Linked DNA regions of Danio rerio. The protein of the gene in region 3 interacts with the protein of the main gene of each other region in a biochemical or structural test. Links are inferred from orthologs where the notes say so. Each region holds a gene or a part of one and is shown on either strand. Other genes may lie near its edges. The genes, in order: hip1rb, hnrnpua and actb2.

Region 1 (3,654 bases), on a different chromosome or scaffold from region 3:
TATTATTATTATTGTTAATTTTTTAATTGTTAAATGCAAATGTCACTCTTTTAATATCTGAATATAATAAATGAGTAATTAATTATTAATGTTACTATGTGTTATATATATATATATAAGTTATTAACATATAAGAGTTTTTGCATGGGCCTATAAAAATGCATTTTGTCTTTTAATATTTGTCTTGAAGGATCCTGAACAGCTGCACTGACCTGATGCAGGTGAGATTAGCACACACTGAATCATCGATGCCAAAAATCAACATTTGAGTTTCTACAGTACATCATGCACTTACTAAGGCATTAGAGTCAGTTAGTGCTGGCATTTGAGCTAGTTGCTTGCTTGTAATTATGAATGCTTTACTGTAATAATAATTGCATACAACACAAGGGCACTGCTAAATTAAGCATCACTGTTTATCAATGATGTAATTGTCTTAATGTTGATGTCCTGCAGGCCATTCGTCTTCTGGTGTTGGCATCCACAGACCTGCAGAAGGAGATTGTGGAAGGTGGAAGGGTAAAGTGTTCTTCTTTAAATTATTGTTGATTCATTGATTATTGATTTTCTATTGATTATTAGTACTTTTAAGTTTCAATCTGTTATATAATGCTGGGGAAACACCACAGGAGAAATTGGCTGGATTTGAGCTATCAAAATAATTGCAAAGACTGTCATTGTTTCTTCTTCATCGTTCGCCATTTCTGTTCTCAAGTCTTCTTTGTCACATTGTGGCAGGCCACGCACTATACGAGCAAAACAGTGAAATCTAGCATTTTTTTGTCCTCCTGTTTGTGACTTCTAACATTTTGAAAATCCCATAAGATAAACAACCTTTTAGTATGTACTAGTGGTGTAACAGATCACAGTTGATTTAGATCACAACCCACGGTTCAGAGCGCACGTGTCCTGCAGATTAATAACTTCTTCTTTACCTTTAGATTATTCAGAAGGTCGTGGTTTGCACTCATTCAATAATGGCTTCATACAGTTTTTATTTTACCACTTAATCTCATTTTCATTTCAATATACCATAATTAACCAAACAAGAAATGTTTAGCTTCACCTTCAAGAACATTATTTAACAGTTAAAAAACACATATCAATTATCATCATTCACTTATTTATGTCTACATCAATACAATGAAATTCCGACAGTCCAAAACATTACTTTTTTATTACATTTACTTTTAGATTAATCATACATTTTGTAATGATCGCAGAGAGATCGACAGTATGAAAGCATTTTTTTCTTTCCTGTAAAATAAAATTTTGAGGTAAGAAGTTGTGGTGGCACCTAAACGCTTTCTTAAGTTATTAAAGGTGTTTTCTGTCACTGGTTTAGTCTGCATTAATGCATTGAGTGTAAAGCTGCACAATTCATCTTTGAAAGTTCGGGATCTCTATTCAAACACCCACGCACAAACCTAAATTATGACCTAAATTATAAAGGATGATTTGCATATGTTTATTCATTCTTCGATGCGCTCCATTCAAATCTGCCGTTGACTGTGAAAGAGATTCAGCCTTTAGTTTTTCCAGCCAGTATTATTTCTAATTACATACTATCAAATAACACTGAAGATCTGGGAGATTCGTTTATAGTTCAGATATAAACACTGATGTATATGATAAAGATTAGAATCTATGTTTAATGCAACTTCACGCTCAAAATGAAAATTGTTGCAATTACATTGTTTGACCAATAGGTGGCATCAAAAACGTGTCACTGAATAATTCTTCAAAATGTATATATCTAGTAATGAACATGACGTTTTTGGATTATTAATTGAAAATAATTATGATGTGTTGTCGTACATGATTATAATGTTAAATTGATTTAGCATCATCACAGTATTGAATCATTTCTTTTTTTTAACCAGCTGGTTATTTCTTGATTATATTTTTATTAAAAGTGCAGACTCTAAGATATGTTTTTTTTTTTTAAACATTATTGTTTTTGGTAATAAATGGGAAGCAAATAACATTTGTCTTCTCTCCTTTTTGCCAATCCAAAAAAATGGTTTGATCCATGACTCAAAAACCGTAATGTGGTCTGAACCGTGAAATTTGTGATCAGTTACATCACTAGTATATACCCAGCCTATTTCTATTGAAAAATATTGCCCTATATGTGATTGTGTTTGCTGTGATATTACCACATGATCTGTTGTTGTTTTTTGTTTGTAGGGTGCAGCTTCAGTCAGAGAGTTTTATGCGCGCAATTCTCGCTGGACAGAGGGTCTTATTTCTGCCTCCAAAGCTGTGGGATGGGGCGCGACGCAGATGGTGTATGTATTTATGCATGTTCAAGAGCTCATTAAAACCTATACTTTTGCAATGCCTTGTTTGTAATGTTATCAGGCAATGATCTGTATCTGGAGAGATGTAAAATATCTGTTAATTAACTGTTTCTGTGTTTTGTGTTAATACGTGTGTTGAAAATCTGCCACAGGGGTAAGAACAAATCATCAAAGTCAAAACAATCATTTTTTTCTTACCCCATTGGCAGATTGTTTTGCTTGTTTTAAGTAAAAACTCACTTGATTTTGACTCATTATTTCTGAAAACAAGACAATAATTTTAGCTTGAAAAATTAGGAAAAATTAAAAAGCCTTTATTCACATGGCTAAATCCTAAAAAACCTACGTTTTTTTAACGTAGGGTAACAGGATGAAGGCAGATTCTTGCCGAAACGCGTAGGTTTTTTAGGATTTAGCCATGTAAATAAAGGCTTTTTAAATTTTCCACATTTTTTGAGTGCCGTGGACTGATTCCTGTTGTTGTATTGATGAATCCTTTACCCAAAGAGCACCGACCAAATATTTGAGTTACTCCTGAGCGCTTTTGGTTTGTTTTTCTGGATTAATATTTGTAGCTTTTCTAGAAAATCCTTTTTGATTCATGAGTTTTGCGATATTTGAACTAGAAACAAGACAAAAAATCTAAGTAAGTAAAGCAGTTTTTGCAGTGTGCTTATTTATATTTATTTATTTCTGTAGTAGTTTTCTGATGTTTGTATTGATGTTTGGCATTCCTCTGAACATTCATTTTAACATTCAGATTCTTTGATTATAAAGATTTGACTGTGTAATTTTATGGTTAGCTCTTTGTTTTGCTAACACAACTTTGCTTTCACTTTCCATCAGTGATTCTGCTGATAAAGTGGTGTTGCACACTGGGAAATATGAAGAGTTGATCGTCTGCTCTCACGAGATCGCTGCTAGTACTGCACAGCTTGTTGCAGCCTCCAAGGTTTCACTTTTATATCATTTATCGTATGTCTTTTAGAGCAATGAATCAGAGAAACAATCAGGCAAAAACAAAGTTGCCAGTTCACCTAGAACTGAACATTTCCTCCTTACCTTCAATTGGTTCAGAACAAATTATACGTTTTTTTCTGTTGATAAAAAAGACTTTACAGACCTGAAACTTGCCTATAGCACTTATTCATTGTTGCTTTTATAGTTGTGTAAATTGCTTCCTTGTCCTCATTTGTAAGCCGCTTTGGATAAAAGTGTCTGCTAAATGACTAAATGTAAATGTAAAAGAAGATATTCTGAAGAATGTTGGAAAAAGCAGCCACTGACATCCATAGTAGACAAAAAATATTCAATGTTTTTTCAGTTTAGATCTGTTATGGGTAAGAGGTGT
Region 2 (4,093 bases), on a different chromosome or scaffold from region 3:
ATAAACAAATACATATATTAATTAAACACAACATAAACAATAATAATAACACAAAAGAAGAATATACGATTTAAACATAATATCTGATAAAAACAATAACCCATACAATATAACTTCCACCAAAACACATTGATTTCATTCTTTAACAGCCCGAGCACTGAGGTGAAAGAGATGCCCTTAATATTATTATAAGCTCAAAATTATTTCAAATGGTCAGTAAAAATGTGTGTTTCTTTGCACTGATGTCAGATCTGGCTCTTTACTGCCAGAACTGCTCATAAATCTTTCAGGTGCAGCGGAACCTCAGGAGTACCAGCAGCCCGACTGCACAATTCTTACCGGCTGTATTTTCTTTCTTCAATAAATTCAAAGTAGGCCCTTCCATGTTCATCTCGGCGTCTCTTTACACCCTTCTTATTCTTCTGTTCATCTTTCTTGTCTTTGTCCGCATCCCCTTTGGAAAACAAACAATAAAGCGTAAGGAAGAGTACCTCCCTGCTGGACCAGGCATGATGTAACATGATGGTCCACAGAATTACTGGAGGATTTATACTCTTGTTTAGGGTATGCATGAATTGCAATGAGCAGTGCTTTAAAAGAAAATTTATGCTCAAGGAGCGACGTCAGACAGTGCGGGTATTGTACACTGCGGGATTGTATGAGTACAGACAGAAGGTTGATGCCAAGACAACTGCAAACTGTGCAATTTTGAGCTGAGTAACACACATTTACATATTCAAATTGCATGCATCTTGAAGAACTGCAAATGTTGTGACATAAAAATTAGCGATGCACCGATACTGAAACCAGTATCGGGTCAATGCTTTGTTAAAATACTTGTACTCGTATCGCAAATGAAATGACGATACCACTCAACAGTATGTCACTACGTTGATTTGTTGTCCTACATGACTTTAATGTCTTAAGACAATAATTAAAAGAGTGGCGAGACTTGACAAGGCCATATGATGCTTTAAAATGCTTTTCTAATGTTCATGACTATAGTATACAAATGAATGAGGTGTCACAGAGCACTGACTGAATCAGATGGCCAATCAGAGATATTGGCTATCCAGAGAAAGGGGCTTGGTTGAAACCAAAACTCAATCAGAGCTGCAGCAATGCAGAGAAAGTGGAAAATAATATACATTTTTTTGAAAATTAAAGCATTATTTTAAATTAAATAATAAATTAAAATAGCATCATAAGGCCTGTTTGATGGTCACAGATGTAGGCTAAAGCCACTAACCCCCCTTTAGCACAAAGGGGGTAGAAGCATCTGCCAAATGACAACAAAGAATACCATGAGGTGCTCCTCAATACTGTAGGGCATCTATGGACCTGAAAAAGTTTAACTTCCACTAAAAACATGTAGTCAATAAACATGAAATATATAGTGTTTGAGTTTTTAGCCCCTTTAAGCAACATATTTTCCAATAGTCTACAGAACAAACCATCATTATACAATAACTTGCCTAATAACCCTTACCTGCCTAGTTAATAATTAATCTAGTTAAGCCTTTGAATATCATTTTAAGCTGAATACTAGTATCTTGAAAATTCTTAAGTAAAATATTATTTACTGTCATCATGACAATAATAAAATAAATCAGTTATTACAAATGAGTTATTAAAACTATTATGGTTAGAAATGTTTTGAAAAAATCTGCTTCTTTTCCGTTAAAAAGAAATTGGGGAAAAAATAAACAGGGGAGCTAATAATTATGACTTCAACTGTGTACTGGTGCAAAGACATTATAAGGGATCAATTAAATAAAATGAATAAATCAAAATGTACATTTTTAATAAAAAAAAATAACAATGGATTTTTTTCATTATTTCTTGCATTTAATTTGCAGATATTTCTCATACTTTAATTAGGTTAATGAAATATGTATTACATTAAGGTTTGACATATGTAGCACAATGTAAAGAAGATGTTGCATTCACCATAAAAATATATATATTGAAAAACTATTGGATAATCAATAAAATTATAAAACACTAAATAAAGGAAATAGGAATAAGAAAATAATTAAATTACGTAAAAATATAAGTTTATATTTTATTAGAAATAAATATTTGAAATAAAAAGAAATACATTGTATTATATTATGCATGTTATTATAATTAATATAATTATGTATAACATTTAGCTATATTAGATTAGAATAAAATAAAATACTTACATACTTAGCAAAGTAAAGCCTATTGCTGTAAATCATATAACCTGAAACTGTAGCAGTAACTCAAGGAGAAACAAATGGGACAGCAGCAATGAGCCCATAACAAACCCCAGTATACGCGTTCTGCTGACAGTATGAATTATTTTAGCCCAATTATACACAAAGTAACTATGAATTACTCGATCTTCATCGTATAATCTCACCCTTGTCAAGAGCCACATCATCCTCATCGAATTTCTCCATCTCTTCATCTTCATCATCATCACCATCATCATCTTTAAGAAGAGCGTCTTCATCCGATTTATCCATCTCTACCCCGGCGTCCTCCTCTTCCTCCTCCATAATATCATCATGCTCGGCCTCCGCGTTTCCTCCATCCTCTTCTTCCTCCTCCATGCTCTCTCCCACCGGGTCCTCCTCCAGGTCTTTGCCGGCGGGGTCTCCTCCGTCCTCGTACCGACGCTCGGAGCCGTTAGTACCAGAGAGCGCCTCCTCGTCTAGTGCGGCCTGCAGGCGCGACATAAGATCCGCCTTCAGCCCTTTATCAGACAGACTCCTTTTCTTTAGCTCGTCCTTCAGCTCGTTCACTTTCAGCTTCTTCACGTTTATAGCGCTCATTGTGACCGTCGTCTTCAGACTTGTGTATTTGAGCAATTATGAACGGAAAATATGAACGGAAAGGGCAGGTTGTTGTGAGCGGACTGTCCGTTAACGCGCGGTGCGGTCACTGTAGGCAGCAGTCGAAGCGGAACAAGGCCAGCTCAGCTTTATATAATCTACCGTAAAGCACGTTATAGCCGAGCGCGTATGAGACTACCGTAAATATCGATATTGATTTAAGATAATAGACGTAGTTTTACAATTTTTAGAAATTGTATTGTCTGTGTGGCTTTTTTGTTTAAAACTTAAGGCATTTTTTGTTCTGTTTTTAAACATGGAATTTAATTAGATATTTTACAGTCCTTTAGATAGGGTGGCTCTTTTTTCTGAAAAAGTGGACCTTTTCTGCAGTTATTCACCTCATTTTCTATTCAATTATGAGGTTTAAATAATGCATTGTAGTGACATTTTAATTACTAATCTTCGCCGAATCTTTTTGACGTACTAAAAATATTTTCTAGAGTGCTTATACTGCTTTATTACAAAGAATTTGCATTTAAACTTTAATTTACTACAGTTATATAAATAATGCTATGAGTTTTATTCAAATAAAAAATTAATAAAGAAAAATAAAAACATACTTATTTTTAAATACAAATTTTTTATCATCCATCATTTTAAAAATATATGGTCAAACTTGTTTTAAACTAAAAAGTGTAGCAGAAAAAAAAAACTCACCATCTCATTTCACTTTCCTCAGAAAGCCAGAATTTGGCCACTTGATGAGCAGATGAACATGATGTATATAAATTAATTTCTGCCTCTCCTGATGCCTCTATTTTGATTTCCCATTTTATAGCCGTTTGTAATAATCAGTTTGACATATCTACTTTGTATTTGAAAGATTCTTGAAAGATTTACAGATTATAATTACCAATGGGGACTGGAAAAAGTCTATCAAGGTCATAATAAATACATAAGAGTGTGAAGATGCAAAAACCTCTAAATGCCTTTTGAAACATTTCCCTAAAAGGAGTATTTTTTATGTGTATTCATATCACTTAAATGGCAAAGATTAAGTCCTTTTCCTGGGCTTTAAAGTAAAATATCTCAACATAAACAAAGGATGCTGAGAAAAAAGTAAATTTTCTATGGAAATTTCAGATGTTTTTTGCATCTAAACTCTTGACATGTTCTATTAACTCAAGACACCTAATCCAATATAAAAGTGTGCATTGGCTTCATTATTCTATAGGGTTAAGCTTAATAAATTCTAGTCCTCTATCTCCTGTAAATGTAATAAATGT
Region 3 (4,247 bases):
GTTTGGGTCAGAATCAAACTAATCGGTCTTCTCACCTGATGTCTGGGGCGACCCACGATGGATGGGAAGACAGCACGGGGAGCATCATCTCCAGCGAATCCGGCTTTGCACATACCGGATCCGTTGTCAACAACCAGTGCGGCAATTTCATCATCCATGGCTGAACTGTAAAAGAAAGGGAAACTGTTAGAATTGCACTGCTGCCAGGGAGAGGCGTTTCAGCAAGCATGTGACCATCTGGAGTCAACTTCCTGTTTTGCTCTGCATTCTACAGTCTGACCGCTGGTGGGCGCTAGTGACAGCGCGCGCCTCAGATATGCCAGACAAAGGAAGTCCCTCTGCATTCTCTCATTATTACCATAAAAGGCAATGGTTTGAGCCGCTTTGCGGCTGCCGGCGGTGTGGCACTCAGCCAGAGTCGTAGGGCTCAGTAAAAAGGAACAGATTTCGACATTCATCACACCAGGACCACTCCCTAAATTTTACACAAATGAAGTTTCACATCCTCTTCCACCCTCGCCTGCGATCAATTACACAACCGCATTTCAACGGGTGTCTGCCGCCGGGTGTTACTGCGTCACAGATCTGCAGTCAGTCCACGGACTCCTCGTGAGCGGAGACTTCACACTAAAGCATTTCTGGACGGTCACTCTCAGTCGGTTCAGTTCATAGTCTAGCCTCAAAAATCACCGAGATCCTGAAAAACTGATGGGCTCTGCTTCGACAGTCACAGCGGCTGAAGTGCAGCCAGAGAACTCCGCAGCCGTTATTAAAGTGGACCACACCTCTAAAATTCAAATCTTTCATAGCGGATACAACACTTCACTAACGTTAACGTTAATCTTCAGCTTCATTAAAGACAGAGGGGGCTGCAGGCTACATTTAAATAGAACACATAACAAAAAGAAAATTAACCAAGTTAAAACTAAATGCCAATACCCGTTACTAATAACAAGATCTTCGATCTTATAAAGCACGAATGAGCCGATGTTAGATTGATGGGGTTTACGTTACATCAGATGAGAGCTGGTTAGCCGGCTAGCTAAAGTAGGTCACACCCTGCTGCAGCACTGCCTGCACAAAGAACTTCCCATGCCGGCTATCCATCAAGTGTGCAACATGCTCACCAGCACCCTCAAAACTGTAGTTAAAAATCACATTTATGGCTGTTAAAGAGAGATTAGCCAGAACACAACTTTATATTAAGACTTAACACCCATTTCACACCGGCCTATTCAATGTTCAATGTCGTGCCTACGACTGGTCACGTTAAATTACCGACATTCTCACCTGCCACATCCACTAACGCTACAAAAAAGTTAAGATACAGCCAATATTTATTAAATGTAACATAGATTATCAAAAGAACCACCACTTATAAATCAAACCTAGTAGATAACTACAAAGAGACCGTTATGAACTGTCTAAAGACTTCATCAAATCATATTTATCCATTTACACATTTTACTTAACATTAATAGATAGAAACTATAATTAAACGCTTAAAAACTGTAAAACCAACTCACCTTGGGTTTGGGGGGTTGTCGACTTAAGAGAATGGGTTACAAGCAGATGATATTCCGCACTAGCTGCGTGTGGAGGAGCTCAAAGTGAGGCTGAAAAGCTGGGCGCGCTCTTTTATATGACGGCACATACCCGGCTCTAGCCATAAAAGGTAAACTTTCGGAGCTCTGTGCTCTGATTGGTCCAGCGTCACACACCCGGCTGTCGCGTGCACATTGCTACACTTGCTTCTTGCAACTTGAGAGTGAAAGAAGGGGAAGCTTAACTGGTTAAAGAACAAGGCCATGGCGATTTCCTATAAAACTGGAATTTTTATTTGCAAATTTTAACACAGAATTTTTCGTATTTTTCTGCGACAACGCCAAGACTCAATTAAACTTTTCAAAAAGTCTGTGCAGAGTTACAAGTGGCAGAATGCGTCATAATGATGGATGCCTCCATGATCCTGTGTTGTGTTTTCAATCTAACACAACAGCAGCTCTGTAGGTCATTTACCTCTTGTGTTCACGAAATACCGTAATACAAACAATGGGGGATCTAATGAGTACTTTTCCATGTATAAAATGGACATTTTTTTTATCCAAATTAGGATGACACTACTTGTAGTATGTTGTATGAGCAACTAGCTGGTCTTAGCTCAGTAGTAATGCACTTTAAGAAAGTGCTTTAATAACTTTGAATGAATGGGACCTGCATTCCATGCCACATTGCTTCACTATTTTTGTGTGTACAAGTTACACAATGATGTATAAAGTGAGTGATAGCAGTTACATTTTTGCAAGTGGGCCTACCTCAGGTTTAATGTTCATTAGAAATGTTATATGTCAAGTCTTGATCTTAAATAGTTAAATTTTCTGTTCATAATTTCATGTCGTGTCTATGCAGACATAACATTTCTTTTTAAAGAGGTTTATAAGGATAAATCCTAAGAACATAATTCTCATTAAAAGTAGAAAAAAAAAACACTGAAAGTGTTGGTGATCAGCTACAATAAATAATATTTTGCACACATTTCAGATATTGCCACACTGAATAACAGATAAAGCTGTGCTTGAGCAGCAGTGATCATGATAAACTACATGTGACTTTTTACTGTGTAACTTGGGAGTAATGCACATGGCCTTCAGTGGGAGTTATAAACAAAAACAGCTGATTGTGTTAAAAGTGCTTGCTGATACCAAGGACAATGAGGTGATGTGACTTTTATTTTGTTTTTGGCAAATTCCAAGTATTTTGACAAGACTTTTTACAATTCTGAGCATTTTACCTCTAAAATATGGAAGTTTCTCAGAGTAAACGTTGAGTATAGGTAATGACTAGGCCCACACAGAATCTGTGCGCACAGAAATCTGCAGATTTCCCCAGATCTTTAGCCCATCATTGAGTTTATTTATTGACTTGTGTATTTGGATTTGCTCTTTAGTGTTTGGACTCTCAGCAGTAAAAATTAACTCACACTGAACTAAACTGAACTGAACTTAAACTCTTAAAAAATGGACTGACACAGTTTCAATTTACTATACTAATCCTCTAAGTTAAGCTGCTTTGACACAATCTACATTGTAAAAGCACTCTAGAAATAAAGACAAAGGTGTAAATATATGTTTATTCAGTTTTTAAATACATTTCCGTAATATTATTGACTAATATGAAAGTGTTCATTTGATTACAATATGGTCTGAAAGTAATGTTTTCTGTCTTTTAGAAGATATATTATGTGAGAGACTTGCTTTGTCGACCAAATAATTGGATCTAGGTGGACTTGCATTGTATATATTTATTAAAAGTTAAAAAGGTATTATTTTTTTTTATTTCATATAGTAAGTTTTTAGTTACGATACTCCCGAAAAAATCTCGCATAAATCACAGATTGTTTACAAAATTCTCTGCAGAAAAAGCAAAAAATGTCAGCAGATTCTGTCTGGCCCTAGCTATGACCCAACAGAGCAAACAGAATAAATACAACGAAATTTAATATACAGCATCAGATATAAAAGTGAATGTTTTATAGCTGTTTGTGTATAGAAAAAATGAGAAAAAACAGACATAAACAGCATCATAGTATGAATGTCTAAAAACTTGTTATCTGCAAACTGGATACTCATCAATAAGGTCTCCTCCTTCCATCCCCCAACATCTTTTCAAAGAATGCCAAGCATCCATCCACACCCCCCTTTATAAACACACAGGTTTTTATAAGATAAGCAAATATTTAGCACCAATCTGTGGTTAATGTGATGTAACACACAACAAACAATGCATTCAGCATATCCAGTCAATTCTATTTTTTAACCAACCATGCTTCTCTTTGTAACTTTTGTAGATTGCACAGGGGATCTTGTTACAGCAGATGTGCTTTTGTGAGTCCATAGTTCCCCCGAGGACCACCACCCTTCCCTGATAGCAGCCCACTACAGCCTTCCCATTCATCTCTAAATAAGGTACTGTCCTAATGAACCTCAGCTTTGCCCCATGACATAAGATTTCCAGAGCAATAAAGTGTTGTTGACTGTCAGTGTGATAATGTCATTGTCCTTTAGAATGCCAAAGTCTCTTATCTCAATTCTGATACCAAAGCTCTCCCAGTACACCATTCATGCATAATGATAAGAAACATATTTATGAAGTTGTTCTCAAAGGAACACTTTTTGGGCGTGTCATGCTGCATTTCATAGTTTGTTGTTTGGCACCCACATAAATAAAACAAGTGTGTTTTTGATAAT

What was found.
Region 1: the proteins of actb2 (region 3) and hip1rb form a complex in vitro, tested with the Homo sapiens proteins (2 studies listed by BioGRID). The link is inferred for Danio rerio from reciprocal best matches to the Homo sapiens genes ACTB and HIP1R.
Region 2: the proteins of actb2 (region 3) and hnrnpua form a complex in vitro, tested with the Homo sapiens proteins (2 studies listed by BioGRID). The link is inferred for Danio rerio from reciprocal best matches to the Homo sapiens genes ACTB and HNRNPU.

What each region holds. Positions count from the first base shown.
Region 1 is NC_133180.1:72,284,230-72,287,883, reverse strand, and holds part of hip1rb (huntingtin interacting protein 1 related b), read left to right. Parts: intron 1-190; coding exon 191-221; intron 222-456; coding exon 457-519; intron 520-2,190; coding exon 2,191-2,291; intron 2,292-3,149; coding exon 3,150-3,255; intron 3,256-3,654. UniProt on the Homo sapiens protein: Component of clathrin-coated pits and vesicles, that may link the endocytic machinery to the actin cytoskeleton. Binds 3-phosphoinositides (via ENTH domain).
Region 2 is NC_133192.1:12,690,026-12,694,118, forward strand, and holds the start of hnrnpua (heterogeneous nuclear ribonucleoprotein U), read right to left. Parts: upstream 2,929-4,093; 5' UTR 2,805-2,928; coding exon 2,390-2,804; intron 455-2,389; coding exon 340-454; intron 1-339. UniProt on the Homo sapiens protein: DNA- and RNA-binding protein involved in several cellular processes such as nuclear chromatin organization, telomere-length regulation, transcription, mRNA alternative splicing and stability, Xist-mediated transcriptional silencing and mitotic cell progression.
Region 3 is NC_133178.1:39,482,435-39,486,681, forward strand, and holds the start of actb2 (actin, cytoplasmic 2), read right to left. Parts: upstream 2,855-4,247; 5' UTR 2,842-2,854; intron 1,617-2,841; 5' UTR 1,527-1,616; intron 166-1,526; 5' UTR 159-165; coding exon 36-158; intron 1-35. UniProt on the Homo sapiens protein: Actin is a highly conserved protein that polymerizes to produce filaments that form cross-linked networks in the cytoplasm of cells.